4 linked regions of the Notamacropus eugenii genome follow. The protein of the gene in region 3 purifies or fractionates together with the protein of the main gene of each other region. This does not show direct contact. Links are inferred from orthologs where the notes say so. Each region holds a gene or a part of one and is shown on either strand. Other genes may lie near its edges. The genes, in order: HEXB, TKT, SOD1 and PRDX2.

Evidence for each region.
Region 1: the proteins of SOD1 (region 3) and HEXB purify together in Homo sapiens (affinity purification with mass spectrometry; 3 studies listed by BioGRID and IntAct, with this or other methods). This does not show direct contact. The link is inferred for Notamacropus eugenii from reciprocal best matches to the Homo sapiens genes SOD1 and HEXB.
Region 2: the proteins of SOD1 (region 3) and TKT purify together in Homo sapiens (affinity purification with mass spectrometry; 3 studies listed by BioGRID, with this or other methods). This does not show direct contact. The link is inferred for Notamacropus eugenii from reciprocal best matches to the Homo sapiens genes SOD1 and TKT.
Region 4: the proteins of SOD1 (region 3) and PRDX2 fractionate together in Homo sapiens (co-fractionation; 3 studies listed by BioGRID, with this or other methods). This does not show direct contact. The link is inferred for Notamacropus eugenii from reciprocal best matches to the Homo sapiens genes SOD1 and PRDX2.

What each region holds. Positions count from the first base shown.
Region 1 is NC_092875.1:467,785,280-467,792,551, reverse strand, and holds the start of HEXB (beta-hexosaminidase subunit beta), read right to left. Parts: upstream 3,010-7,272; 5' UTR 2,910-3,009; coding exon 2,677-2,909; intron 1-2,676. UniProt on the Homo sapiens protein: Hydrolyzes the non-reducing end N-acetyl-D-hexosamine and/or sulfated N-acetyl-D-hexosamine of glycoconjugates, such as the oligosaccharide moieties from proteins and neutral glycolipids, or from certain mucopolysaccharides.
Region 2 is NC_092874.1:478,488,745-478,496,727, reverse strand, and holds the start of TKT (transketolase), read right to left. Parts: upstream 3,004-7,983; 5' UTR 2,834-3,003; coding exon 2,727-2,833; intron 1,812-2,726; exon of another isoform or gene 1,787-1,811; intron 1-1,786. UniProt on the Homo sapiens protein: Catalyzes the transfer of a two-carbon ketol group from a ketose donor to an aldose acceptor, via a covalent intermediate with the cofactor thiamine pyrophosphate.
Region 3 is NC_092876.1:422,104,701-422,111,729, reverse strand, and holds the start of SOD1 (superoxide dismutase [Cu-Zn]), read left to right. Parts: upstream 1-4,013; 5' UTR 4,014-4,275; coding exon 4,276-4,347; intron 4,348-7,029. UniProt on the Homo sapiens protein: Destroys radicals which are normally produced within the cells and which are toxic to biological systems.
Region 4 is NC_092875.1:78,124,467-78,131,562, reverse strand, and holds the start of PRDX2 (peroxiredoxin-2), read right to left. Parts: upstream 3,020-7,096; 5' UTR 2,641-3,019; exon of another isoform or gene 2,637-2,640; coding exon of another isoform or gene 2,617-2,636; exon of another isoform or gene 2,606-2,616; intron 1,941-2,605; 5' UTR 1,939-1,940; coding exon 1,836-1,938; intron 1,681-1,835; coding exon 1,527-1,680; intron 834-1,526; coding exon 711-833; intron 222-710; coding exon 91-221; intron 1-90. Other genes in the region: THSD8 (thrombospondin type-1 domain-containing protein 8), read left to right, coding at 2,617-2,636, 3,069-3,202, 3,627-3,826; RNASEH2A (ribonuclease H2 subunit A), read left to right, coding at 5,786-5,912, 6,263-6,334, 6,456-6,582.

The sequences.
Region 1 (7,272 bases), on a different chromosome or scaffold from region 3:
TAAATACTTCATGGATGAGATTATGAGGTAAATTCTCTAGGTCAGCCAGCTCTCCCTCCTTTTTTTTATTTAAATACTACTATCATAGCTTGCTCAGGTTCCAGTTTTTTGTTATCTAATTTATAAATCACAGAAATCAGCGATCAGTAACTCAGAGGTCACCCAGAGTCTGCCTAATCTCTGAAGCACAAACCTCTCTAACATTCTGGATGTGTTCTGGAAATTATCTAAACTTCCCCAAAAGGCCTCCAGGGATAGGAATCTCCCGACTGTCCCAGGCAGCCCGTGTCTTTGAGTCAGGTCAGTTAAAGGAGAGTTTTCCTTGAGCCAAAACCTGCTTCCCTTTTAGTTCTCACTAGCTGGGGCTATCTGCTGGAGCCAAATAAATTTAATCCTACTTCCATGTGCCAGCTCTTCAAAGAGTAGGCGTCTCCTTCACATCAATTTTGTTGTCTATCACTATAGCATTATTTTGGTATGTCACCAATTTAATGTCTCTCTTAAGTATGATGAAATACCAAAAGGCAGATAGTAGAAAGAAACACAAGGTGAGAGGACCTGAATTGAACTCCTTCCTCTGACATTTCTGATTACTTGGTTATAGATAAACTGGTTAATCTAAGTTTATTTAGTCTTCTAACGGCAATTGTTTTGCCTACAGTGTTTACATATATTTAGATAAGGAAAGCCCTTCAAGTCACTGTAGCTAAGATAACAAGCGTTGCAACCCTATGCTTTTCAGTAATTCTCCAATTCCAAAGGTAGCTGAAACCTAATAGTTAATTTTACTTTTTACAAAATCTTATAGGTCTTCATATTTTAAGAGACTGAAGCTTCTCTCCCCTCAGCAGTGTCTCTTGCCTTTCAAAACTCACAGGTTCATACTCAATAAGAACTGTAGTAGTCATCTGATTGTCCCATGGAAGGAAAAAAAATACTAGTTTGTCCCAGAATGTGTTTGTCCTTTGTTCTTGAAGAGGACCAAGACATCAAGATGATGACATGACTTGCAGTTGACTTTGATTTGAGTGAGGGAGGGCTGTGAAAAGTCACCAGCCTCACTTTCTCCTCCTGAGCCATCTGGGTCCAGTGGCCTGATATTCATCAGGATGACTGGAGATGGCCCAGGATGCAATGGGAGACCCTGGCCCTTTCAGCCTAAGGTCTTATCACATTCTTACTTTGTGTGAGACTCAATGAATAAGCTTCTTTAAGTTACTCAAGGGGTGGCCCCTTTAACAACAACAACAAAAAATCAAACTGGGAAGGGAAGACTCTCAGGGTTCCCGGGTAAAAGAGAAACATTACTATTTAGTTATTACATTCACTCTGTGCTGGGTGGGTGGGGACTTCTTGTCCAGTCTATAAGCTCCAGAGTGAATTGGGTGATGTAAGCCTTCTTACAGATTCCCTCTCAACACCAAGTCATCAAATTCTTTCTCTGATAAGCAAAAGGGGTCCTTAGCAAGAAAGAAACAAAAGTCCACTGGGCTGGGTGGTGCACACCTGCAGTCCCTGTGGATGAGGAGCCTGAGGCTGGAGGATCCCATGAGTTTGGGAGATCTGAGATGCAGAAGGATGAAAGCCTGTGGTATCCACAGTAATGACACCAATGTGGTGGCCCTGAGGAGCAGAGGGGTGAGCCATCTCAGGTGAGAAAAACAGAGCAGGGTGAAGTCTCTCTGCCAATCAGCACTGGGACTGGGCCAGTGAGTGGCTGATGCCCTTCCAGTCTGAGTGAGATGGGGAAACCCAGTCTCCAAAACAAAACAAGACAACAAAAAGCCCCCCAAATAGTTCTCTTTCTATTCTAAGCCAGTGTTTATGTTGACCCAGAATACAGAAGCAGGAACACGATAAACCCTGAAGGACCCCTCCTCAATTTTCTTATTCAGAGGACTAGAGATTTAGGGCAGTAGGCAACCTCGCAGGCCATCCTCCTTCTAGAGATTTGACTTGCCCACAGTCCCACAGGTTAGGAAGTGACAGAGAAGGCCCTTAAGGGAGGCCACCTGGACTCTCTGCTTTCTCCCACTAGATCCAGAATGTGGTGTAATGAAGCTTTTCAACACACTTTATCTACTACCTGAGTTTTGAAGGCCTTTCTCCCACTTGCCTCTTCAACTTATCTTTATAAAATCTTTCCAAGTTGCTGTTGCTACTTATTTCACAGGCTGCAGAGAATCACTAGCCACTGGTCCGCACAGAGGACGTGCATTCAATCTAGCACCTCTCTCAAGACTATCCTCAACAGACTGCTGTTCCCAGTTTTCAGGGCTCGTCCTCACCCTACCCTCTCCCTCTTCTCAGGCTGGGTCACATCTTTGCAGTGTCACACACCTCCACACACTGCCTCGAAAAACCAAGTTTTAAAAAAGGCTATTTGTCCTCACAGGATAACAACCCATCAGGGCTGGAAGGGGCCCTCATTTTACAGAAAAGGAAACAGAAGCCATACAGGTTAAGTGTCTAGTCCGGGACTGGGATCTCGGGCTGCCCTGGAGAATCTACGGAACAGGGGCTGCGTATCCTGCGCACCCTGCCACAAAAACAAGCAGCACCGGCCCCAGCAGTTTTCCCGTTCACTTCCAGCTCTGGAGAATCGGTGCAAACCTCGACTCCCCGAGGACGGGAGGCAGGCACCCGGAAGAAGGGGCATGGGGGATGGGTTCTTACCGGCGGAAAGCCTCCTCCAGCAGAAAGCAATTGGAGTCCTCGAAAGAGTGGGGGCCGTGAGCGATCTCGAAGCTGTCGGGGGACAGGTACAGCACCCGGGGTGACTGCTGCACGGACGCGGGCTGGGGCCACAGAGCCTGGCGGCGGGCGGCGGCCAGCGGGGCCCCGGGTCCGAGCAGCAGAGGCAGCAGCCCCAGCAGCAGCGCGCTGCTGGACAGCACCGGGAGCGTCATGGCCAGGCTCGGCTGCTTCCTGCAGACCCCGGCTTCTTATCCTGCGTCCCCGGGGAAGCTGAGGCTCGGGAGACGCCCCAAGGCCACCCCTTCCCTCACCCGGCCCCGCCTTCCTCACGTGACCCATCTCGTGTCCCGCTGGCCCAAACGGGAAGCGGGCCGAGGGGGCCTGGGGCTGTGTGTGGGCCTGCCTGGGCACCCCGGGGGCGCAGCGCCTTCAGCGCCTTGGGTGCCGGAGGATTGCATCTGAGCAGTTGTGAAAAGCAGCTGAACCCCGTGGGCACAGGGCGAGGGCCGAGGCACCAAGTTCTAGCCTAGACCCACGCGGGCTCGGAGGCTTTGGCGGGCTCCCAGGCCATTATATCAAAGGTTCGGATCTGCACAGGTGGAGTAAGACGCTCACCTGATGCTCCATACGCGATGAAGTCACATCTGGTTTAAAAAACAATTGACCAGGCACTGGATTAGGCGCTGCGGGTGGGAAGGTTCGCTGGACATGCCTTCTCTACCTGTTTACGCAGCCAGCTGCTGCGCCAGCTCTTAGGGGCTTTTCGAATGGTCACTTAGGCAATCTGGAACTGCTACACACCCCTGCTTGATTTATTGCTTTGTTGATTGTCTAGAAAAGAAAAGCAGAACAAACTTAAGTGGGCTGCGTTTACATTTTTTCCCTCCCAGAGCCTGTTTTTAAGCATTTATCTGCAGATCTCTGCTTATGTTCCACTGTTGAGTAGAATTGTCCTCCTGACTTTCTCTGCTGGAAAGGAAACTAGTCATTTTCCAAACACATTCTTGATCTGCTTGCTTTTTGTGTTCCAGGCCCAGGCCTGTCACATCCTTCTGTGTATTGTTGATAGGATTACGTTCGTTTGGTACCTGAAAGGGCCTAAAAGGGCCAGGGTCTCCCATTGGATCCTGCAAGTCATGTCACCATGTCCCTGATGTCATGGTCCTCTTCAAAAACGAAGGACAAACACAACCTAAGAGTAAACCGAGTTCCCTTGAATGGGGACCCAGCTAGCTGAGTAACTCAGTTCCGCCAGTTCCACTCTCCAAAGGGAGGTAAATTTTGATGGCCAGGGTTTATTGGCTAGATTCCCTCCCCTCCTCTCCCCTCCCCTCCCCTTTCCTTCCCATCCTTTCCCTTTCCTGTCCCTCCAGTTCACTCTGAAGCTCAGATATTCAACCGCAATAGATCCTGCCCAAGCTCCACTTAATGCCTATTTTTTGGACCCTCCTGATTTACAGTGAATGTCAATGGTAACTGTTACTCTTTGGAACAGCAACCCGGAGGGTCTTCCCCTCCCAGCTTGATTTTTTTTTTCCTTTTTTCTAATTAAAGGGACTATCCCTCACTTACTTCTTAAAGAGGCGTATTCATTGAAAGGGAGTTACCTCACTCAAAAGTGAGTAACTGAATAGGCCTGAGTCGAAAACAACCAGGATCTCCCATTGCATCCTAGGTCATCTCCAGTGGTCCCGATGACTATCTGGCCACTGGACCCAGATGGCTCAGGAGGAGGAAGTGAGGTTGGTGAACTTGCACATCCCTTCCTCACTCAAATCAAAGTCAACATCATCTCCCCAATGTCATGGTCCTCCTCAAAAATTAAGAAGAAACACAACATCTGGATGGTGATTTCTGACTCTCATTTCCCCCTCCAGAGCTATCTGGAAGACTCAGCTCAAAATGCCACTTCCTCCATGAAGGTTTTCTAGTTCCAGATTGTTCAGAGCCACAAAAGACCTTAGAGCTATATCATCTATAATCCAGGCTTCTCATCTTATAGGTGATAAAACTGACACCTAGAGAAAGTGATTTGTTCAAGGTCATGCAGCTAATAAGTAACAAAACTAAATTCAAAACCAGGTCCCCTGACTCCAAGTCAGTGTTCAATGACATGGTCAGATCTCCACCTTAGGAAGATTATTTTGACAGTTTAAGATAGATTAGAATGGGGCATAATGAAAGCAAGTAAACCAATTCGGAATGTAGAGTGGTACAGGTAAGAGGTTACAGGGGCCTACCCTAGGGTGATAGAAGTATAAGTGGAGAGAGAATGGACTTGAGAGAAGGAAAAATCAGCAAAACTTGGCAATTCATTTTGGATACGGAGGGCAAGGGCTATAAGGAAGAACTGAGAATGATTCTGAAGTTATAAACTTAGGTGACTGGAAAGATGGTGTCTGGTACATAGTAAATACTTGATGAATGCTTGCTGACTGACTATTGGCACCCTCAACAGAAACAGAAAATTTTAAACGAGGAGTAGATTTAGAGAGGTGAAAATATTGAATTTTGCTTTGGATATATGTTGAATTTGAGAATCCTACAGGATATTTAGGAGAGTTTTAGTCAGAAGATGATTTGAGATGCTTTCAAAAGATTAGGACTATATATATAGATTTGAGAGACATCTGGGTAGTTATAATTGAATCCAGGAAAATAGATAAAATCTTGGAAAGCAGAAGTAGAGAGAAAGAGAGAGAGAGAGAGAGACAGAGAGAGAGAGAGAGAGAGAGACAGAGACAGAGGCAGAGAGAGACAGAGACAGAGACAGAGAGAGAGACAGAGAGAGACAGAGAAAGAGGCAGAGAGAGAGAAAAGGGGACCCAGGACAACCCTGGGTATATACGAGGGAAGGGGCGGGGTAGATAATGCACTAAAGGCCAAGAGAGCAGGAAATATCTAGGAGGAAGTAATGGTCAACAATGCAATTGGAACATTCTTTTTAAACCTTTTTTAAATGAATTTAACAAGCATGAACATTTTCATACACAGAGAACAAAAAAAAAAGGACTACATGTGAAACTATGAATCTATTATGTAGCTTGATTTGTTTGTCTGTGTTTGAATTTTTTTTCTTTTCTGTGTATTTTGAAATATTTAATTGATGCTCCTTTATTTCTTTTCTAGGAACTACTAACAGATGGCTTTTCTTTTTTTGGTAAAGTAGGTAAAGAGTGACTGCTGAGAAAGGAAGGCAGAGGTAGGAATGGTGTTGGGACTATGAATTGGAAAAGGAAGGTTTGGAATAGCTACTGTGAGTCATATTATAGCATCAATCAATGAAGACTAAAATTATTGCTGTGCAGCAGTGAGTGTCCACTTGAGATTCAATATCATAAGTTGGTCATGTACCCTGTCAGCACTTCTCCAGTAGCATTCTCCATGAGGTGGGAGCATAGAAGGCAGTTAGTAGATGTGATTCAGGACTGAGGATTACCGAAGTCTGTATAAGGGAAGGCAAGTGGGCAAAGGAGTCAAGGGTGGAAGATAATGTACAGTACAATGAGTTAACAAGGGGGTCAAGACTTGGAAAGAAGGAAAGTAAGGCCTGTACAGGGATCATGGGGTGAGGAGAAGAAAGAAAAGAGTGAAGGTACTAGAAGTCACAGTAGAGATGAAGAATAGATGTAGGAGGAGAGAGGTAGAGGGAGAGTGGGAAGGCCAGGATATGATCAGAGAGGGGAATTTCATAACTGAAAATGGTGGAGCTGGCACCATGGAGGAAATGGAAATTGAAGCTATGACTATCCTTGAGGTAGAATGAAGTTTTAGGTCATGAGAATTGAGGAAAATGATGAACTTGGTGGCCAGGGTGTTTGAAGGACCACCAACACATATGTTGAAGACCCCAAGTAAGAGGGAGAGGAATATGGTAAGCCAGGCAATGAATTCTCTGAGAAAGGAAGAAGAGTAAGCAGTAGATTATAACCACTGGGGTCTGGAAGAGGGGAGATACACAGATGGCAGGAACCTTGTGGCCATTGCTCATCCTTCCTGCTCAAAGAGGAGCAAGAATATCAAGAAGTGATGTCTTCATATATGCACCAGTTGGACGTAAGTTAAGCAGGGCTGTGCAAAGGCATCAGTCTCACTCTTTCCTCCAGAGTCACTGAAATTGTGTGGCAAGACAAACGTCAGGATGACTGGTGATGGCCCTGGGATTCAGTGGGTGACCTTGACTTTTCTAAATGAAGATCTTTTTTTTTGGAGGGACCCTTAAACAAGAGGTTGCTGAATGATGGTGGCAGAAGGAGAATTTGGACATTATTGTGGGAACAAAGAGTATGTTGTCTCCTCTTAATCAAGAAAGGAGCAACCAGCACTAGAAAGAGTGGCATGACCAATACTCAAGTCAATAAACATTTGTTAATCAGCTACTATGCTAAGTACTGCAGACACACATAAGAAGTGTGTGTGGGGGCACCCAGAGAGTACTCTGCAAACAGTATCTTCTAGAGAAAGCCAAGTTATCCTAAGTGTGTGAACAATAGGAGGATGTTTTCACCTCTGTAGACAATAACTGAATCCATAGGCTTAGGACGTACTTAGGAAGTTAAGACCTGCCAATCTTCA
Region 2 (7,983 bases), on a different chromosome or scaffold from region 3:
GAACTAAGTTAAACCTTACAGGGGTTTTTTTTAACTAGCATTTTTTTTCCAATTACATTTAAAGTCAATTTTTAACATTTTTCTTAACAATTTTGAGTTCCAAATTTTTCTTCCTCCATCCTCCCCCTTCCCTACAATGGTAAGCAATTTGATATAGCTCTATCTATTTATATATTACACGCTACCATGTAAAACATTTCCATACTAGTCATTATAACAGTCCGAACACTTACCTGAGGCTTAGATGTTCAGTGACTTAAGATCATACAGCTAAAAAAGGACCGAGATGTGAACCCGGGTCATCCTGACTCCTAGGCAGTCTTACAATCCTCACAAAAAATTAGAGCTAGGTTGATGGGGGTTTCTTGGGGGTGGGGGGGTTCCTGATGCCCACTCAGAAAGGGTTTTAACCTTGGAGGGCAGCTGAGGTTCTCTGGGGAGCAGGTGAGGGCGTAGCTCATAAATGAATAACATCACAGACGTGCGGAACTGCCCTGCATTCTGCCCAGCATCTCCCCTAGGACTCCTTAGAAATCCTGCCGGTAATTGGTTCTGACTGTTGGGTGCAAAAAGAAAATAAGCCGGTTTGGGCCCCCAGGAAATACATTCTTTGGCCAGTCTGGCATCCCCTCGGCATTCTTCCTCTAGTTTTTTTTCTTTCCTCTTCAGTTATTTTTTCCTTTCTCCCTGACGGGTAGAGCTGGAGTTGCCCTTGCAGGTCATCTAGTAGTCATTTCACTTTAATGAGAAGGGTGGGAGCCAGCCTGAACTGGGAAGGAGCAGCCAGGGTAGAGGCCAGGAAACCGGCCTCCAGAGATCAAGTCTGCAGTCGCTTAAAAGCAGGTCCGGACCCTCGAAGGACGAAGGAGCCAGACGTCTGAATGACAAAGCCTTTTGGGGGACACAGCCAACACTCAGTGGTTTTTGTTTGACCCTGAACTTGTTAGGAAGGCTGTGTTTTTTTGTTTTCCAATGGGGGGAAAGAGGGGCAGAAAATGATTGCTCATTGAAAAAAACCCGCAACTGTAGAGAAAATGAAGTCCGGAGAAGAAAGATGGTTTCCTTTCCACTACAAGTTCTTCTCTAATTATTTCCTTGGAGCTTTGGGAGAAGTCATTTAACCTCGTGGGTCCTTATTTGTAAACTCCTCGTAATCACATTTCAGGTACCACCCCCACCAGGGCCTGTGTATTGACTGCCTTTCAGCGATCCATATTTATCAACTACTAGGCATGTCTCTTGAGCTATGTGGGGCCTCAACTTCCCCAAATGTAAAATACCAATGTTCTTGGGTCCTTTCCTGTTCTAACTTGAAGACAACCTGTAACTGCACACAGACAAAAGATAAAAGTAGCCTCTTCATGGTCAGATCACGTGGTCTAAACCTCTGGTCTCCAGCCTCGACCACGTGCTCGGCCCTACCCCTAAACTCATCAGTGTGGCCAGGGAAAGTTGATCCGGCCAATCCTAAGGCCTGGGAGATAACCAGAGAAGGCCTCCAGGAGCCTTAAGATCACGGCTGGAATCTTAGGGGATCATATCTGCTAAATTCAATCCCCAGGGGAAAGTGAGCTTCCCCATACCCAGGCAGTTCAGTTTTCACCTTGGTCTCCGTATCCGAGTCCAGCACACGGTAGGACCTTGATCAAGGTTCGCGGATTGAGGTGGTATTTGAACTCCCTAACTCTAAAATGAACCTCCGCCTCCAGACCTACTTCGAATACACCACCCAGCCACACCCACCGTCCCCCCTTCTCCACAAAGTTGGTCCAAAGTAAAAGCTTACTGATTGGTTCGCAGAAGTAGGGATTGAAGGCTGGGCTTCAGACTTCAGATGTCATTTTTCCCACGTACAGCACTCTACCCCCCATCACTGCACCTCCACCCGCCAAGCAACCTTTCTGCCTAGGAACGGCCTTGGGCCTTTGGCCTTCTCCACCCAACTTCCCGCCATCACAGACTACACCGACCGGGAGGGGGGCCCCCAGCTCAGTCCGGCTGAGCTCAGTCTCCACCCCACTACAAGGGCCCCAAGCCTGCGGGGATCTGACTAGGGATGGGGGCGAGGAAGGACAGGCATGTTCCAGCTCCCATCCTGGCCCCAGTCCTCCTTGCCTCTGTCCCAGGTCACCCGGGACGTGCCTGGCCTCCTCAGGGACTTTGCCCAGGGATGGGCGGAGCCAGCCTCGGGTTCCGGGCGGGGATCTCGAGCTCGGGAAGGCCCCGGCACCCGGAAAGGCTGCTCGGACAGCGCCAGCATGGCCACAAGGGCTCTCTCATATGGGATCCATAGCACGCCCTCCGCTCCCCAAGCCGGATCAGCCCCGGGTTTGGCTGCTGCAGCCTCTGGAGCCCGCAGCCCCAGCTTTCCCGCCGTGGGACCTGGAGCCCGATGCCCACACTCACCCCGATCGCGGCCCCGGCTGCAGCAGCCCACAGCCAGAGTTCTTGCCCTCAGCCTTCCCCTCCCCCGGCCGGGGGCCCGATGCCCACACTCACCCCGATCGCGGCCCCGGCTGCTGCAGCCCCACAGTCCCACAGCACCCAGCCTTCCCCTCCCCGCACTCCCTCTAAGTGGGAGCCCGTCTGCTGCAGCGTCCCGAACCCGTGCCTTCTGCCTTCCATGCCCGCGCTCAACCCTCATGCAAGAGCTTGGGCTACAGCGGCTCCCCCGTCCAACCCCCGCTTTCCGTGCCTGGGTCTGGGGGTTGGGAGCCTTGACTCACCCCGATCCGGCCGCGGTGGTGGCTTGGATGGAGTTGATGCGCAGCCGGTTGGCGGTGTCCTTCAGTGCCTGCAGTTTCTGTTGGTCCGGCTTATGGTAATCCTCCATGGCGAAGCGGGTTTGGCGCGGATCCCGAGCCCAGTACGAGCAGAGAAGGGGAGACGAACAGCCAGGAGGAGGGCGAGAAGGAGGGTCAGCCCAGCGCGCCCTCTTATGACCAGGCCTACCTGCGGGAGGAGCTGGGGACGTGGGCAGGGGCACGGGGAGGAGAAAGAGGAAGAAAGGCAGGAGGAGGAGCGAGCCTCAGGGCCGGCCCCTGCCGGGGCCACGCGGGGAGGAGTGGCAGAGATCGGTGCTGACCCTGTCTCACGCACGCACGGTCCCTGGGCTGCGGCCCCCATCCTCACCCCTACCTGTCCGCCCTTCTCAAGAGCTCCCAGAGCCTTGAACACTAGCTAGGGCTTTTTACCGTGGAGGAAACTGGTCCAGGAAGGCCCACACACGCTCTAGAAGGGCCCACGGAGAGTTGTGGGGTGGCACCCTGGGCTCAGTCCAGAGCTGGGGGAAGGGATGGCTCCCCCCTCCCCACCCCCACAGAGACGCTCCTGTTTTCGCATTTGCTTTTGCAGGGGCCTGGTTGCTTCCTAAGTGTGGGGAAGCAACATGGGTATGGAATTCTGGATGTGAAGCCCAAAGATTTGGGTTCAGAAGAACTCAGATGTAGACCTGGAGGAGTCCTAGGAAGGCTTCCAGGTCAAACTTCTCATTTTCCAGGTGATGCAGCAGAGGAGGCTAGAAAAAGTGGAGTGATCGCCTAAAGTTCCATAGGCAGGAAGGTGAGCAGGCCAATTTGAACCCAGGCCCAAGGCTTCCAGAACTGGACTCTTTGTATCCTCTTCTGCCATATGCTAGCTGTTGGCTCAGCCTTCTCCCTCTGATTCCCCAGCTGGACTTTAGATAATCTAAAAGGTGACTTTGGGCTCAAGAATCTATGACCCAGTGCCATACACTTACTCAGCATTGGCAGTAGGCCCAGACTGTTCCTCTTCTGGAGATGTCCTTTGAATGAATAAGCATTCCTTGCTTCCAGGCCCCTGCAGCTGGCCTGCCCTGGGCTTCAATGGTGCATTAACCAAGTTTGCATAGTGGCTTTACCAAGAGGGTGAGGGGAAAGGCAGGGTCAGGGCTGTGCCTTCCTCTCATAAGCCCACTGAATCAAAGGGTCTAAGAATTGAATGGATCCTTAGACATCATCTAGTCTCTTTTACAGAGGGGGAAACCGAGTCTCAGAGAAGGGAAGTCACTTGCCCAAGGTCTCAAGTAGTGTATAGCACAGAACTGGGGTTAGATGTCAGTCCCCCTGACCACAACAGAGTTCTTCTCACTACATGATATGGACAAGGGATTCCAGGTTCCTAACTTTTTTTTTTGTAATGTACCCTTTGGACAGCAGTTTGGCAAACCATGGAGGAACTCTTGCTCAGAATCATGTTTTTCAATGTGTAAAACAACATACATAGGATTCTGAAGGAAAACAATTATATTGAAATACAGAAAAAAAAAATTCACAGACCTTACAAGGAAGGAGTAAGCTCCCCATCTTTGGGAGAACTTCAAGCAGAGGGTAGACACCCAGTTATCCACTAGATTGCAGAAGAAACTATGTCTGACTCTTCATGACCCTTTTTGAAGTTTTCTTGGCAAAGATACTGCATTGGTTTGCCGTTCCTTCTTCAGCTCATTTTACAGATAAGAAAACAGAGCAGGGTCAAATGACTTGCCTAAGGTCACACAGCTAGCAAATGTCTGAGGTCACATTTGAACTCAGGTCTTCCTGACTCCAGGCCCTGTGCTCTATCCACTGTGCTACCTAGCTGCCCATTAAAGTTCATGCTAGCTCTAAAATTCTGTTTTTCTGATAGATGTTACCCGAAGACCACCGTGTTTGTTGTAACCACTGAAGCAGAAGCCATATGCTCCCAAACAGAAGGCTCCCCCTAAATCTGGGGACAAGGTTAAAATGTGCTGTGAGAAGTAAGAAAGTTGGGGTTGTGACCTAGCATGGACAGGTTAGAGGTCAGAAACTAATGCGCAGGCCCAAGGAGGTGTGTGAAGAAGGGCCTATCTGAGAGGAGAACACTGAGTCACATGGCCAGGGGACAGTATCGGGGAAATCTGAAGTTCAGAATTCTATAAGCGTCGTGCCTCATCCTGGCCCAGTTGTGGTCCTTCCAGTGACCATGCTGGAAGCTACCCATTCCTTCAGGGGAAGGAACGTAGGCTTTCCCTACTCTGAACTCCATTTTAAATAAATTTTTCTTGATACCTGTTTTTGTATGTCAAGCTCATCTCTAACATGTGCCAAGTAAGAATCAGTATTAGATAGGTTAATGAGCTGTAGAAGAATCCCACAGATAACTCTGGAAAGTGGTGCAATCAAACCCCTTACTGTACAGATAAGAGAGTTATTTGGAAAGGTCTAGTAATCTGCCCAAGGTTATTATTATTAAGTTAACAGAGGGTTAATGGAAGACCCTGGAGAGGAAATTAAGATTTTCCTAGTCTCAATGCAGGGCTTTAGATGGTTTGAACAGGACGCTGCTATGTTTCCTGACTCTTGGTAAACAGGGGGTAGACTACTGGTGAGGAATGAGGCATACCTTTGCAGATGTCTGTTAATTAGATTTGCTTGACCATATTTGTTGTTGTTCTTGTTTTCCTTCATTCTCCTTCTAAAAGAGGATCTCATCATCAGGAAGGTGATGCTATTTGCAAGTGAACTGGATTTAAATGAGAGAGCTTTGTGCAAAGTCACCAGCCTTACTTTTTCCTCTGGGTCCAGTGGCAAGATATAGATCAGGAAAACTGGACATGGCCTTGCATGCAGTGGGAGATCTTGACTTTTTTAAGATAAAGTCTTTCAGAGTTCTCACTTTGACTGAGGCAACATCCATTCAGTGATGAAAGCTAGTTAAGAAATGGGCCAAATCAAAAAATAAATCAGGGAGGGGAAGACCCACTGGGTTTCTGGTTAAAACAGAAACCTTTACTATTTACATTCACTCTGATCCAATCTGGGCTCAAACAATGACCACTAAGTGGTGCTTGGTCTGGGATCCGTTCTAGTCCAATTATTGAGAGCTAGAATGAATTGGGTTTAGGCATGGTCTTTAAGAAAGAAATCTCGTTAGTAAACACCTAGATTTGTCACTAGGTTTCAACCATCAAAACTTACATTCCTTTGGGTCAAGCACCCTCATGCCCCATGTGGACTGAGGGAGAGGAAAGAGGGAAGGGAAGGGAAGGGGGAGAGAGGAGAGAAGGGGAGGGGAGGGAAGGGGAGGGGAGGGGAAGGGAGGGAGAGGTCCTGAGTTGCCCAGCTGAAACTGACCAGTTAGGTAGCTTGTGCTACTCATAGGTTGTTGTTTGTCCTTCATTCTTGAAGACATGACATCAGGGAGGTGATGCCATGACACATAAGTGAATTAGAATGAAATGAGGCAGGGCTGTGCAAAGTCACCAGCCTCAATTTTTCCTCTGGAGCCATCTGGATCCAGTGGCCAGATATTGATCTGGATGACTGGAGATGGCTCCCTTCACCATATTTATTTGTTACAAGAAGGTCTATGAAGAGGCAAAGTATAGGAAAGTCATTGGGAGGTGATAATAGTGGTTTTTAAAAGACTATCAATAAAACATTTGGGATTTTTGCAATTTTAAAATTTACTTTTAACATCCATTTTTAAACTTTTGAGCATATAGAATATTTTAAAAGGACAAAAAAGGGAGTTGCTGATGAGACATGGGCATCTCCTAATGTCCCATCTGAGCGATGCCAATCTAAAATGTAGCTAATGTAAAAGAAGCTATGATCTAGTTAATTATTACATGTTAAGGGAAGGCTGCCATTAATGAGTGAGATGAGGAGCTTCCCAATCTAAAAACAGAGTAAAAGAATTCCCATATGTCAGGTGTTTATCTAGAAAGCACAGGCTCTGAATCCCAGATAATAATTATCTAGCACTTTAAGGTTGGGGCATTTGGTTCCATTAGGATCCCTATTTTACAGAAGAAGAAACTGATTCAGAAAGAGAGGGTAAGAGAGTGGCAAGGCTGGTAAGGGTCAACTGGGGGCCTTTTGAAGTTCAACCAAGGAACCAGTATTTCTTTTTCCTTCTTCTTGGGTTTTTTTTAAGGAAATCAGGGTTAAGTGACTTGCCCAGAATCACACAACTAATAAGTGTCTGTGCTCAGAATTGAACTCAGGGCCTCCTGACTGCAGATCTCTATCCACTGCACCACCTGGCTGCTCTGGAACAAGTATTTCTTAAGCCACCCCACCCCACCCCCACCCCCAGTATGTGCTAGGGCAGCACTATGCTGGGTACTAGACCAACAAAGACAAAGAATGATCAATCCCTCCTCACTGGGAGCTTGCTTTGTAATAGGAGAGACAGCAAATGCACATCAAATGCAGAAGCACAAAGTTGCTGAATCTAGCCATTCACACATAAAGTGGTTAATACAGACAGACACAGATGCACACAAAGTAGTTAAGCAGAAGATCTTTGGAAGAGAGAGCATGAATGATTGGGGCCATCAGGAAAAGCTCCCTGGAAGAGGAGGTGCTTGTCTCACTTTAAAGGAAGATGGACTGTGTGAGGTGGGGTGAGGAGGAGATCATTTCTGGCACTTTGACAGCCAGAGCAAAGTCACAGAAACAGGAGGTGCAGAGGCCGCCCCAGGCCAGGTCTAAGTGTGTAGTGTCCAGTGAATCTGAAAAGACGGATCTGGGGCCAGCTCATGAAGGGTTTTCAAGGCTAAACAGACAAGTTGATGTTTGATTCTAACAGCAATAGTAAAGCACTGGAGTTGTGCTTCTGGAAAGTTCCTCAGGCAACAGTGTGGAGAGTAAACTGGAATGGGCAGAGCTGAGAGCCATCAGATGGCCCATTCCCATGTCTGAAGTCTTGGACTCAGAAGTCTTCCAAAAGAGGGCAAAACCTGAGTGGGCAATGAAAAGAGGGCTAGCCTGAGACCCCTCCTTAAACAAAGGCTTTGGAATTCATGGCTCCAGCGTTCCGTCAGAGGATCAGAGGGTGCTGAAGAGGTAGCACTGAGGCCTTGCAGGAGTCTGGAACTACCTTTACTGGGATCTAGCTCTTGCCCTCAAAACTGGTAGATTTCAGTTCTGGAATGTCCTTCAATATGAACATTCAGCCAATGACAGAATATTTCTCTTTTCTGTGTCGTGGAGT
Region 3 (7,029 bases):
TTTAGTTAATTCAAAAAATTAAATTTAGTTAAATTTTAGTTTCTTTAATTTGTCATAAAAAAAACTTCTTGAGGCATTTATTTTTGCCACACAGGATTTATTAATGCATCTTTCTTTAGCTTCAAATCAATAAATAGCCACTTTAACTCTACAATATCCCCCTTTTTTTGAGTCCTTTTCCTTCTTTAAAGTCTATAATTAGACATATGCATCCTTAAAATCATCTCACAATGCAAAATCAATAAGAAAAAACCATAGCACCTATGGGAATTATGGCATGGGGCCATAACACAAATTGACATAAAAAAAGAAAGGAACCTAATTTTAAAAGTAGCATGGTTTTATACATGTTAAATAGTTAAGAATAAATAGTGGTGACATGTATGTCCGTGTGTTGCTTGGCAAAGGAATAAACAATTTTATAGTTTCTATTATAGGCTGGGCATTGTGCTGTGATTTACAAATATTATCTGATTTGATCCTCAAAACAACCCTGTGAGATAGGTACTTTAATTATCTCCACTTTACAGTTGAGGAAACTGAAGCAAACATGTTACGTGACTTGCCCATGCTCACACAGCTATGAAGTATATGAGGCTGGATTTGAATTCAGGTCTTCACTAATACCAGATCCAGCACTTCATCCAGCTAGGCACCACCTAGCTGCTTGCTCTGATGAGTTCATGACTTTAGGTGGGGTGCATAAGATAGGGGACCTTAGTGGTGGCAGAAGTGGGCAGAGGAGATGTAGAGTGTTGTGGCTCTCCTCTGCCCACAACCCTTACTGCACCAGAAGATATAACAATAAATACAGAACTTTGGTTTGAGATGTCAAATGAGTGTGGGGTGTTGTTGCTGTGGTTGCTTTAGAAAAGTTCAACACAAAAATAGCAAAACACAATTTTGCAGGCTAACAGTGCTGTGTGTGTGTCTGCATTTTGTACATTCCCACCTGGTTCAGTTCAGCTGGATGCCTTTTTCGATATTCACCTAGAGTTTCTTGAAGACAAAATAGTATATAACAAATGTGGAATTCGAGTTATGCTCCAGTAGTTCCTTAATATATCAATTGCATTGGGACAAATTTGAGTTTGCAAAATAAATGTTACAGCAAAATTGACTGGTGCCACTCATCTCTTGCCAAACCTCCACACTGGACTACCTCTCCTACTTAACTAGCTGCTGAAAGCAATAGGAGGGAGTCTCAAAAGCAAGCTGATTGGGTACGCCACAAATTCATGTTAACTAACCTTAACTGGACCATCACTGAAGCAAATCAGTCCTTTTATTTCTCCCAAATTGATTCTCTATCTCAGTCCCCACTTAACTATTCCAAACCTTTTTCTTCCTTAAACTTGCCACACCTCTCCCTTGTACTCCACCTCCTCAGATGAGGACCTTGACTTTTGCATCATTTCCCACTCTCTCCTTTCTTCCATCTCTGACAAAGAGGTGACCCTTCTCAGGAAGGCTGACACTTCTACATGTGTATTTTATCCTATCCCTTCACATCTTCTCCAGCAGAATGCATCTTCAATCTTTTCCCTTCTCTTTTGAATCTGCAGCATCTCCCTATCTACTGGTTCCTTCCCTTTTGCTTTCAAACTTATTCGGGTTTCCTCCACCCTTAAAAACAACAACAAAAAAACCCAAAACCTTCATCTCTCCTGTATTTTTCAATCTTTTTTTTTTTTTTAAGGAAGACCTCTCTTCTCATTTGCTTCCCACCCCTCTGTAATCTAGCTTTGGACTTCATCACTCAACTAAAATTTTTCTGTCCACAATTACTGTTGATCCTTTCCTCGCCAAGTCTGGTGGTCTTTTCTCAGTCCTCATCGTCCTTGATGTCTTTCCTCCTCATTTCTGCCTCCTAATTTCCCTGGTGTTCTTCAAGTGCCAGCTAAAATCCCACCTTCTATCAAAGGTCTTTTCTGATCTCCCTTCATTCTTATGCCTTCCCTTTGTTGATTATTTCCCATATATCTGGTGTATGGCTCGTTGGCAAATAACTGTTTGCATGTTGTCTCCCATGTTGAGACATGTGAGCTCTTTTAAGAGCAATCACCATCTTTTGCCTTTCTTTGTATCTCCACTGTGCATTTAGCACAATGCCTGGGATACAGAGCATATTTAAAAAACGTTTACTATCTTTTGTATTTGGCACTGTTAACTAACGTTCTCTTACTAGATACTCTCTCTTCTCTAAATTTTCATTAGATTTTTGTTGTTGTTGTTGTTTCTCCTATCTGCCTGACCATTTCTCAGTCTCCTTTGTTATCTCCCTATTCACATTACACCCTCCAGTTGCAGGGTGTTTCAGGGTTATGCTGGCTACAGCTTGAACTGGCTCAGGCAGTGGTGTGTTGGTAAACGTTTAACAACTGAGAAAACATCTGAGAAAAAAATGTGATCTTGACACACTTTTAAGTTTGACCTGCATTATTAACATTTTCTCCATCCCCTTCTTAAGTCTAGTCATCCTACAAAGCAATAAATCAAACACTGATTTGTAGTGTTTGCCATTTTGCAAGGTGTAAGTGCTTACGTTGAAAAGTTAACATGGGCTGGTAGCTTGAGCCAGCTTCAGCACACCACTGGTGGATTCTAGATAACTTTCTATCTTGATAACCTTATCAGCTCCCATGGATTTAACTATCATTTCTATATAGAAGACTGAAATATACAGGATGTTCCATATGTCCTGCTTAAAACTGCTCTTTGACTTTTGGGGACACTGTATAAATCCATCCCCAAACTGCCCCCCAAGTTTCAGAGCTGTAACACTAATTGGTCCACTGGACATTTTAAACTAGATACCCCAGAGACATCCTAAACTCAAGGTGGGAAAAACAGAACTCATTTTCTTTCCCCACCAACCCAAAGACTTTAAGGTTTGGAGCCTGGCTATTATTCTGGAACCCACACTCTTCCTCAACCTCATCTAATGGATGAGTTGGCAGATCAGGCACTGTCCCACTTTTCACATCTCTCACAGCTACAACCTTGGTCCGGGTCCCCTTCACTTCTCCACTAGATGAGTGCTAACAGGTCCCTTCCTCAGATGTCTCTTTAAGCCGGTTCTGCACATGCTGCCAAAGTAACTTTTCCTTGGGCTCAGGACCTGATCAGGTGACTCTTGGGCAAACAATTCCACGGGCTTCCTATTGCCTGAAGGATAAACTATAATGATTTAATAATATTATAAAGGATACAATATGCATATTACATACAGGTATATATGTACAATATACCTATATATTATATATAATAATACAATAAAGGATAAACTATAATAATGATGTAATAATATTATAAAGGATATAATATGCATATTACACTCAGGTATATGTACAACATACCTATACATTATATATAATAATATAATAAAGGATAAACTATAATAATGATATAATAATAAACAATACACATTATTTAAGCTTTTTAAAAAATCTTACACAACCTGGCCCTAACCTGTCTCTTAGCCTGACTGGGTATGACTCTCCTTCCTACACTCTGAGATCCAGCCAACCATGTTCTTTACACGGGATGCATCGTTTCCCCTCTCCGAGCTTTTGCACTGGCGGTCCCCCGAGCCTGGTGTGCACTCCCTCCTCAGGGCTGACTCCCAGAATCCCTCTTTTTCTATAGGGCAGAGGTCGAGCTGCACACAGTCTTTTCTGATTTTCCCCTCCCCCACCCAATGCCTTCGCTCCCCAAGGACCGTTACTACTTGGCGTTTGTGGTTTTTTAATTTTATATATCCTTATGTGCTTATGGTCCCTCCCATTAGAACTGGGGCTCAGTAAGAAAAGAGGCTCTGTCGGTCACAGGCGATAGTAGGCGCCATAGCGGACGATCGATTACCGCTGTCCAAGGAGGGGAGAGGCGAGAGGGGGGCGAAGGGCACACTTCTCACGCGGAAGACCTCGTGAGAAGGGCCCGGGGCTTCTCGCGCTTTCTACCGTAAGTACAAGCGAAGGCGGGCAAAGGGCGAAGATTTCCAAGCATTACGGGGGGCCCGGCGCGAGCCGCCTTCCTGATTGGTGGCCGCCTTCGGGGAGGGCGGGAGGAGTGTTGATAGGAAGAGCCTTGTGATTGGTCGGCCAGGAGCCAGGAGGCGCGGAGTGACGGCAGTGCGTGCCCTTAAGTGAGGTGCTGCGTAGCCCGCGGCTTGGCATTTCTCCCCTCGCTCTTGTGCTCGTCCTGCTTTCTCGGGTATCTGGTTCTTCCCTGTCGGCATCCGTCTCGGACGTGGAAGGGCCGCGCTCGTGAGCCATGTTGAAGGCCGTGTGCGTTCTGAAGGGCGACGGCCCCGTCCAAGGCACTATCCACTTCGAGCAGAAGCAGGCAAGGGCACAACTAGGGGCGGGCGGATGCGTCCTGCGCTCTTCCCCGGGGCCGCGGCGGGCCTCCCTCCTTACCCTCCCCCCTCGCCCCCCCCGCGGCTCGGCCCCCGCCGCGTGGTGCCCGGAGTGCCGGCCGTCCCGGCCGTGCCCGGCTCTGCCCCCGCCGCAGAAGGCGTGGCGGGGCGGAGCGTGGGGGGAACGGGCCCGCGCGGGGCGCTCCTCGAGACTTTGCTCCCGCGGGGAGAGCCGCGGGCGCGCTGGCGGTGCTGGCTGCGGAGCCCGAGTGCTGAGTCATGGGGGGGCGGGGTGGGGAGGACGGGGCGCCCCCGCCCCCGGGGGTGAAGGCGTGTGCACCCTCGGGGCCCCCGGACCGGAGTGGGGCGCTGGGGAGGGCAGGGGCCGGCCCGCAGCGCAGCCGGGACCGGGTTAAAGACCCGCGCGGTGTGGGAGGTGGCAGGGAGCTGGGGTGGCCGGGGTTGAGCAGGTGAGCCGGGGAAGGGTGAAGACGCAGGTGGGAGTCCGGGCCTGGCCCCGAGAAGAGGGAAAGCTCGCTCTCGCCTCTTTTCCGGCTTTAAGCCGCCTCCAGTCTCCTCCCTCTCATGCCCTGGGGGCCGCTTGGGGAGCGGGGCGGCCGGGAATCCCCACGACGTCCCCTCCTCTCCCGGTCCGGCCCGCTCTGCGCCCCCGGGGCACGGCCGATAAGGGCGGAGAAGAGCGCGCCAGAGCGGAGATCCGGGAGGGGACCTCGGGGACTGGCCCGGGGCCGCCGCCTTGCCAGGGAGGGCTAACGGTGCGAAGGAGTCGGCAGCGGCCGGGGCCGGGGCGCGCAGCCCTGGTGGAGGGGGCCGTCTGCCCGGGGCTGACCTGGGAGGGCAGCATCGGGGTGCTGGGTGGCGGGGAGCAGGTGGTGGAGGGCTCGGGGGGCCCTGCTCTTCCTTGGCTCTCTTCTGTCTTGTCTTGTCACGCTACTTCCCTGCCCTTCTCCATCCTCCTTCTTGACTTCATCGAAATAGAAAGAAGGCGGTCCTCGAGCGTCCCCGTCTGAGTTTTTGGGAGATTTTTATTTCCTCGGTCCCGAATGGTCATTTTGCACTGCCTACCCTGTTCTATTTTCACAAGAAATCCGCACACTACTAGTTCCGTTTCCCAAAGAGATCAAGGAAAAGGAGAAGGTCTAAGAATACTTAGAGCACCTTGTTTCGTGGTGGCAAAGAACTGGAAACTGGGGATGGCCATCCATTGGAGAATGACTGAGCACACTGTGGTAATGTGACTGATGTCATGCTTCTGTGCTAGAAGAAATGAGGAGGAAAACCTGGGGAGACTTGGATGAACTGATGCAAAGTGAAGGAAGCAGAGCGCAGAGAACACCGCACACAGAAGCAGCGGTGTTGTGGGGTGATCCACTGGAAAAGGTCCGGCTGCCCTGCTCCGGGCAGTGACCCGGGATAATGCCAGAGGACAGAAAATGAAAAAAGCGACCCACCTGCAGTCAGAACTGGTGGTCTCTCTTTTTGGCAACTAGAATAACATGGAAATGTTGCATGATTTCACATGTATAACTGGTATCCTGTTTGCTTTCTCAAGCAGTGGGGGCAGGACTAGAGGCATGGAGAGAACTTGGAACTCAGAATGTTTAAAACAAATAGTAAGTAGTTTAAAAAAGAACCAAGAAATCTGTAATATGTGGTCCCTTCTTATGGGTTAGGAAACTCAGGGGTTGTAAAGGATGTGACTTGCTCAGTTATGAATTTGTAAGTAGCAAAGTCTGTACTAGGATCACTGCCTTTTTGTATCCTTTGATCATTTGTCTGTTTGGGAGTAGCTCTTACGAAGTTTTCTTTCAACTGAAGAAGGAAACCAAAGAAATCTTCATGGAGGAGGTTGTACTAGAGCTGAGCCCTGAGGAAGAGAAGGCACAGATGAAATTGTGTTCAGTCTACAGAAAAACACAGAAAATAGATAGTAATAAATTTTAAAACTTAGTATTATGAAGTGGAATAATGTGAAATAAGGATAGAAATGTAGATTATAACTAGATTGGAGAGGTTTAAATGCTTGTATTCTTATTGTGCAATAAAAAACCATTGAAAGTTTTGGAAAAGGGTAAGAAGAAAATGAGGTCATAACTGTACATTTAATAAGATTATTTTGGTAGCAATCTAGATTGGGATGAAGGATGAGGACAGAGCAGCTACATAGTAAGAAAAATTCAGGGAAGAGTTAGTGAGACCTTGATTTACTGTGGTAGCAATATGAGCAGAGAGGGGGATCTATGTTTGAGAGAGATTGGAGGCATAACTGGCAGGACTGTCAAATGTATCGAACTCTAGAATAAACTGTTCTAGCTTCATATGTTGGTCTTTTAGAGCCTTTGCTAGAAATTCGAGGGGCCTTTAAATTCATTCTCAGGAATAGTTTCTCTGAGAGAGAAATCAAAGAAATTATATGCTTGCCCAAGTACTTAGTGAATGTTGGTTTTATCAGTGGTGTTTTTTGCAACAGTAATGCTGATACAGGAGAGTCACATCTTTAAGGCTTAGTGAGAATAGGAAAAACCCACATTTGACGCCCTTCCTGGAGTTAATTTCAGTAAGTGTTTGTTGATCTCTTACTATGCCAGTAGGTGCTCTAGATGCAAAGAAAAAAGAGAATGGTCTCCATTTTTAAACAGCTCACATTT
Region 4 (7,096 bases), on a different chromosome or scaffold from region 3:
CTCAAGCCTCAATCCATAGGGTAGCCACCTTGGAAGTGGAAAACACACCCAAGGAAGAGTGGGGTAGGATAGGGAATACACAAGACTCACCTTCTCCGTGCTCGTCTGTGTACTGAAATGCTTGCACTAGTCGCAAAGCCTCATCCACTGATCGACCCACAGGCAGGTCATTGACAGTGATTTGCCTGACAAGGCCTTTAGCATCAATGATAAAGAGGCCCCTGAGTAAATGGAGAAGAGCTAGTATAAGACCCTGGAAGTCATCCAGGACTGGGCAACACCATGTTCAGTAGAAAGAAGACTAGATTTTAATTCCAAACCCATTCTTCTGCCACATCTGTAAGGGCTGAGACTTACTTTCTTTTGGGGGAAGTGTCTGGCTCCTAATATTCTATGTCCTCGATCACCTTCCCTCCCCAAGTCTGAATTCAGACTTAGTACTTGTATGACTTTATCTAAGTCCTTTCAACTCTCTCAGCCTCAGCTTTTGTTCCTGCAAAACAAGATTTGATAATATAGCCTCCAAGTTCTCTTCTAGTTCTAAAACCTTGCAACTCCCTGCTGTTTCTACGTAGTTCAAAGATTGTCTGTTTTCATGACTATAAAAGTGGGGGTGGCAAAAACTAAGAACCAGTCAGAATGGTGACTCCTAAATTGTTGATGATCAGGGACAGAGCAAGACATACTTACAGACGGTCCCCCAACCATACCTGTAGGCAATGCCTTCATCCTCCTTCAGTACCCCATAATCTCGAGCGAGGTTTCTGGTTACATCTGCCAGCAGGGGGATTTTCAAAGGACCCAGGCCACCCTGTTTTCGAGGGGTGTTGATCCTTTTTAGGGAGGTTGAGAAAGAAGTGTCCAAGTTACTTACCTCCATGGAGTCCCCTTCTCCCTAATCAGGGACTATCTTTCCTACTCTCCAAAGAAAGGAGCTATCTTCACAGCTCAGAGGCTCCTCCTCCCTTCTCCCCAAGGGCTTGAGCAACAGATTAGGGCTTCCCTAAGAGTCCTGAGTAAGTGATAAAGGGGTTGCAGGCAGGGCTGTCAAAGCCCAAACCTACCACACCCAGGAGGGAGTAGTAAGGCAGGAAGAGAAAGATGCTGTTCTCTATTTCTGAGGAAGATGGAACAGAAAGTACTGCCTAGTATGGTTGAAACAATCGACGAGTGGACATAAGGTATGAAGCCCTGAGTTCAAATGCCAGCTCTGGTACTTGGTGAATCAAAAGCCATTGCTCTTAACTTCTCTAAATCTGTTTTTTTTTCTTTTTCACATGATGGGAGCTGAAAGAAATGTCTTCCAAAGTCCCTTCCAATTCAAATTACTACAAAGGGACCCCAGCAACTCAGCTTTGGAAACCCTTTTGTTCCAATAAGTGTAGTTACAGGGCCACAGGATATTCCCTAGCAAAAGACAGGAGGTGCCAGCCAGTGACACTTCCAGTGGGAGAAGGTGGTAGAAGCACAAAGTCAGATAGGGCAGAGTTCCTTCTCCATCTTCCTTCTCCTAGCCAGAATCATACCAGGCCAGGTGAGTGAATTGGGAATCCACAGACACACCAAGGACTTCGCAGCCCAGCTGACGGAAATCAGAGACCCGATCACTGAAGGCGATGATCTCGGTAGGGCACACAAAAGTGAAGTCCAGTGGATAGAAAAATATGACCAGATACTTCCCTGGAGCGATAAGAATAAAAGGAGTGAGAAGCAGGTGCTGGGGCCCCTTCCCCTACCACTCTCCAGGTGATAGGATCATCTCCTCACACCCTGACTTCCCTCCTCCAGAGGGGAAGGGGCCAGTGTCTCTGACCTCTAAGGTTGTTATCTCTCACCTTTATAGTCAGACAGCTTCACCTCCTTGAAAGCCCCATCGACCACAGCAGTGGTATGGAAGTCAGGGGCCGGTTTTCCAATGTGAGCATTTCCAGAGGACATGACTGGAAAAAGTGATTTTCCCCTTAGGGTCAACCAGGGCACCTGATTCGCATTTCCCCGAGCTGTGCAACCCAGCACCACCTCCCTTCCCCCACTTCCCGAGGCCAGACTGGGCACGTGGGTCAGACAAAGATGGTCACATGCAGCCCCTATCCCTCCCTCCATGGGCTGAACACAAGAGACTTGGGCACACGGGCCAGACTAAGCTAGTCCCATAGGGAAAGGGGGCAATTCAGACCCAGCCCTCCTGCCTCCTCTGCACTGCTCCTACCCCACCAGGGAAACAGGTCTGGGCACCCAGGCACAGGCTGTAAGATCTTTCACCTCCTCCCAGGACCCTTAGTCAGGCTGAGTTAGGCCTCAAGAGCAGGAACAAAGAGACGTCTAGATTTCTCTCAAGGTTCAGTTTCCCTGCTGAGTAGGGGACAGGTGGAGGAGAATTCACCTGGGCTCTCAGTTCCTAATAGCCCACAAAGAACAAAGGCAGGGATGGGGGGGGCGGGGAGGAACGTTTCTTGCTCCATGCAGAGGGAAGGACCAGGACAGTAGCAGATTAGCATAGAACACAATCTGTCTGGATAAAGGGGAGTCACAGGCTGCCTCTATTGCTTCCCACTCCCCTAGCCTAGAACTGGCCCGGCCCAGAAGGACCTGCATCGCATTGTACCTTACCGCACCATGCCGCACTGCACCGTACTGTACCTGCAAGAAGGGCGGGCTCCGAGCCTACAAAGATAGCGCGTGTTACTAGACCGCAACAGTAGCAGTCTGGAAACCAAAAGCCGAATCCAAGAGGCCGCCGCCCGCGCCTTTTATCCGCGGCCTGTACCACCTAAAGCCAGACCGTGGGGGGGAGGGGGGGTAGAAGACGAGGAGGAGTTGGGAGGGACGTATGGGAACGAGCCTGGGGGAGGACGCGACACGCCTGGGCGGGCCTACTGATGCGTCGTGGGGGGTGTGGGGTGGGGGGCGAGAAACCTGAATATACCGAAGCTGAGGGGCGGGGGCCGCTGACCTCTTCCCTCCCCCTTGTCCACTCCTCTCGCCTGTCCCTCCTGATGAGCAGCTCGGATAACGGAGCGCAGGGAGAACCTTGGACCAGCGACTAACAGCGGTTCAGGGGGCTACTGAATAGAGAAGGAGGGGGCCGTGGATGACCAGACTGCCCCTGAGATTGCTCCTGCTCGGCCCCGAACCTGCCCAGGCCCAGACCATCACTATTTCGGAGAACAAGGCTCTGGGGATTCTTGGGAGACAGAACTGGGTAAAGAGTGAGATGCCTTCAACCCCCAGAGCCTCCAGACTTGATCTCCCCAGATGTTACACATCAATGAGCAGTAACTCAAGGAGTCTTCCATTGGTGGGGCGGGGCACGGGGAGCGTGCAGGTTTACTCAGAAGAAACTCAGAAGCACTCATATACAGTGCACTGGCCCTGAAATCGTACCCCTCTCCTTAGCAAAGATTTACAACCCCCCATCCCACGCACACGCACAAGTATACACATATCACCCCCCACAATGAAATCTGCCAGGATTTCTCCCCGGGTCCTATTACTCAATTCAACAGATATTGTTAAGACGCTTGGCATATTGGGAAGTATCCCAGTCAAGCCTGGAAATTTCAGATGGTAGAAGAAACCCTGTCAAGGTTCAGGCTCCCTGGCTGACTGATGTTTTCTTCCCCCAGAGCCAGGAGAATTGCCACTGGGTCCATGGGGCCCCTGGACCTGCCAGTGTCTCCTGGGAATTCAAGAGCGGAGGCAGGATGTGATGGGCGCATCTGCAGCACCTGTATTTCTGGACAGGGAGAGCCTCCTGCAGCACCAGCCCTGCAGTTATAACAACTGTCCTAGCAGCTCACCAGGCCAGTGCAACCGGAGGGTTTGAGGACACAGAGTGAGCATGGCCAAAAGCAAACTCCAGAACCCAGAGAAGGAGAAAGGAAGATAGAAAACTCAAGGAGACTTGAGGCCCTGTGTGTGTACATTACCATCCCAGCTGGGTTTGGGGTAAGGAAGAGAGAAGCATCTGAACTTGGGAAAGGGGTATCCTGAGAGGGAGGGGCCCTAGAGCTGGGGATTCCTGGGATGATATCACCCTTGTCTATCTGCAGCATGTGGGGTGCAGGTTTTCCCCTGAGGCCTACCCTACCCTGAATACTTTGAAGATCAGAATGTAATCATCTCTATTATTGCTGTTGTTATTAAAGATAATTTTAAACCTTGCGGTAAAGCCACTCCAGCAGGTCCAGGAAGATGCATAGCCACACCTACTACATGCCACAGCTCAAGGAAGAATCAACTGGAGGGAAGCCTACCAGCTTGGGCCTCAGGAGGCAGATCCTAGTTCTATGGGGGCAGGGCCTACTCTACTAAGAGAGGCCCTTAGTGCTCGGAGACAGCAGAAGTGGAAAAGATCATGTTTGCTGAGATGGCCTCATCCTAGTGGTGCTACCTTAGATTTTTCCTTATTTCCTAGTAAGGCCTTCAAATAGTAGTTCTTACTGCTGCTATTTTTCTGGAGGCCTGGACAGAAATGTTTGATCCGATGAAAAGAATACTAGTCTATTGTTACTGAGTCATTTCAATTGGGTCCAACTCTTGGTGACTCCATTTGGGGTTTTTTTGGCAAAGATACTGGAGTGCTTTTCCATTTCCTTCTCTTGCTCATTTTACAGATGAGGAAATTGAAGCAAACAGAGTTAAGTGACTTGCCCAGGATCACACAGCTAGAAAGTGTCTGAGGCCAGATTTGAACTCACAAAGATGAGTTCCTGACTCTATCCATGCACTTTATCCACTCCATTTGGACACCTAGCTGCCTCCCAGAATGAGCCAAAAGAACTGGTTTAGAATCCTAGCCATATTTAATAGCTTTGTGACACTGGGCAAGTTCTTTCCCTTTTCTGGTTCTCAATTTCCCCCTCCTGTAAAATGAGAAGCTTGGACTAGATCAATCCAATGAATGATTAGTCAATCAGTAAACATTTATTAGGGAGAAGCAGAAAATACAAACAAAAATGGAAGTCCCTGTCCTCAAGAATCTTATAGTCTATGGGGGGGAGTGTGTTTAACACATATGTATGTATGTAATACACATATAGCATATGTGTATATATACGTATGTATATAAAAAGTTAATGCAAGATTAATTCGTTGGAGAGAGGGTAGAAAGCACTAACAGAGTTAGGGAATCTGGCAGGATCTCATGTAGGAGAAGGTGTTTGGGCTGACTTGTGAAGCTAAAGATTCTAAGAAGTAAAGGTGAGGAAGGACCGCATTTCAGGGCTGTGTAAACTCAGGGGAGATAGGATAGGTCATGTGTGAGGGACAGAAGAAAGTAAGCCAGTTTGGATGGCTGTCCACAAAGTATAAAAAGCTTGGAAAGGTAGATGTCAGGTTGTGAAGGGCTTTAAATTGCAAAGGAGTTTGTATTTTGTAACTGAAACAATAGAGAGCCTCTGGAACTCTTTAAACAGGGCTGTGTCTTGGTGTGTGTTAAACAGGCAAATGACTTCTTGGAAACAGAGATCTTCAGTTAGTCAGTAGTCAGTCAAAAAGCATTGCAGATAGATAACTGGTGGATGATGATCAAAGGGAGGGAGCATCATGCTTAAGAGGAGAGATTGGATCGGATGGGTTTTGAGCTCCCTCCCAGTTCCTGAAATTCTAGGACGCACGGCTAGGTGGCGCTCTTGCTGATGAACTACAAGTCCCAGAAAGCTACGAGGACGAACAGCAAGTTCAGGATTGGCTTGGAGGTTTCCGGGGGCGGGAAGCCCGCCTGGATCCGCGCATTTGCGGGATCTCCCAGCCAGTGTCCAAGACCGCTTGGCTTGCTGCGAGCATGGATCTGGGGGAGTTTGAGCGGGACAACACAGGCAGCTGCCGTCTGAGCTCGCCGGTGCCGGAGCTGTGCCGCACCGAGGCCTGCTGCCTGGGCATTGATGAGGCCGGCCGGGGGCCTGTTCTGGGTGGGAGTGGGTGCCAGCGTGCTGGGGGAGGAGGAGAGTGGGGGTGGGGTTGCCCGGGGGTGAGGGTGGCCTTCGGGCTAGGGGGTATTGTTGCACCAGGGCTGTGGGGTGTATCGGTTGTAGGAGGGGTGGGCTCCGAGCCGGGGGCGGTTTGCTGAGGGGTTGGGGGTTGCCCCAAGGTGGGCACTTCTTAGGGGTGGCAAATTGCCTGGCGGTGGGCCCTGGTTGTTGAGCAGTTGGACCAAAGGATTGCTTCGGGGTTGGGCCGTGGTTGGAGAGTAGGTTCTGGGCTGTGGGAGTCAAGATCCGGGGTCTGGAGGCATCTGACTCTACCTGTCCCCTTTTGCCAGGCCCTATGGTCTACGGCATCTGCTTTTGCCCCTTGTCCAAAGTGGGCGCCCTGGAGGCTCTGAAGGTGGCAGGTGAGTGCTGCACGGATGGCTTTCCAGGGGCTGTGGGGTGAGGGGGTGAAAGGTGGGGAAGGATTGTGCCCCTGTGACTAAGCCTCTCCTCCTTGCACTTCTCCCTTTTCCACACTGCCAGACTCAAAGACCCTGTCGGAGGCGGAGAGAGAGAGACTCTTTGGGAAACTAGATCAGGCCCGGACCTTTGTGGGCTGGGCCTTGGACATTCTGTCCCCGAACCTCATCTCCACCAGCATGCAGAGGCGGTGAGAGGCTGTTTGTGGGTGGGCAGCAAATTGACTCCTGTGCCACTCAATGTGAGTAGGGGCAAGAACACTAGATTTCAGGGCACAGGATCTCAGAGCTGGAAAGGGATCTCGGGGATCATCTTCTAGCCCAATACATACCTCACCCAACATCCCCCTCCATGGAGTGGTCACCCATCCTTTGCTTGCCGGCTTCAAGTAGGGTAAAACTTACTCAACCCTGGCTGAGGAAACCCATTTCCCTTTTGTATAGCTCTAATTGTTAGAAGGTGCTTCCTTAGATTGACTACACAATTAAGGATTATTGGTTCAGAGCTGAAAGGGATCATAGAGGCCATCAACTTCCTTCATTTTACAGATGAAAAAGCATTTTTTCTGTGTGAAGGCAATGGAAGTTAAGTGACTTGCCTAGGGTCATGCAACTAGTTTCAGAGCTGGGATTTGAACTCAAGTCCTCTTGACTCCAGGACTGGCACTCTATCTACTCTGCCACCTAGCTGCCTCCAGACAAAGC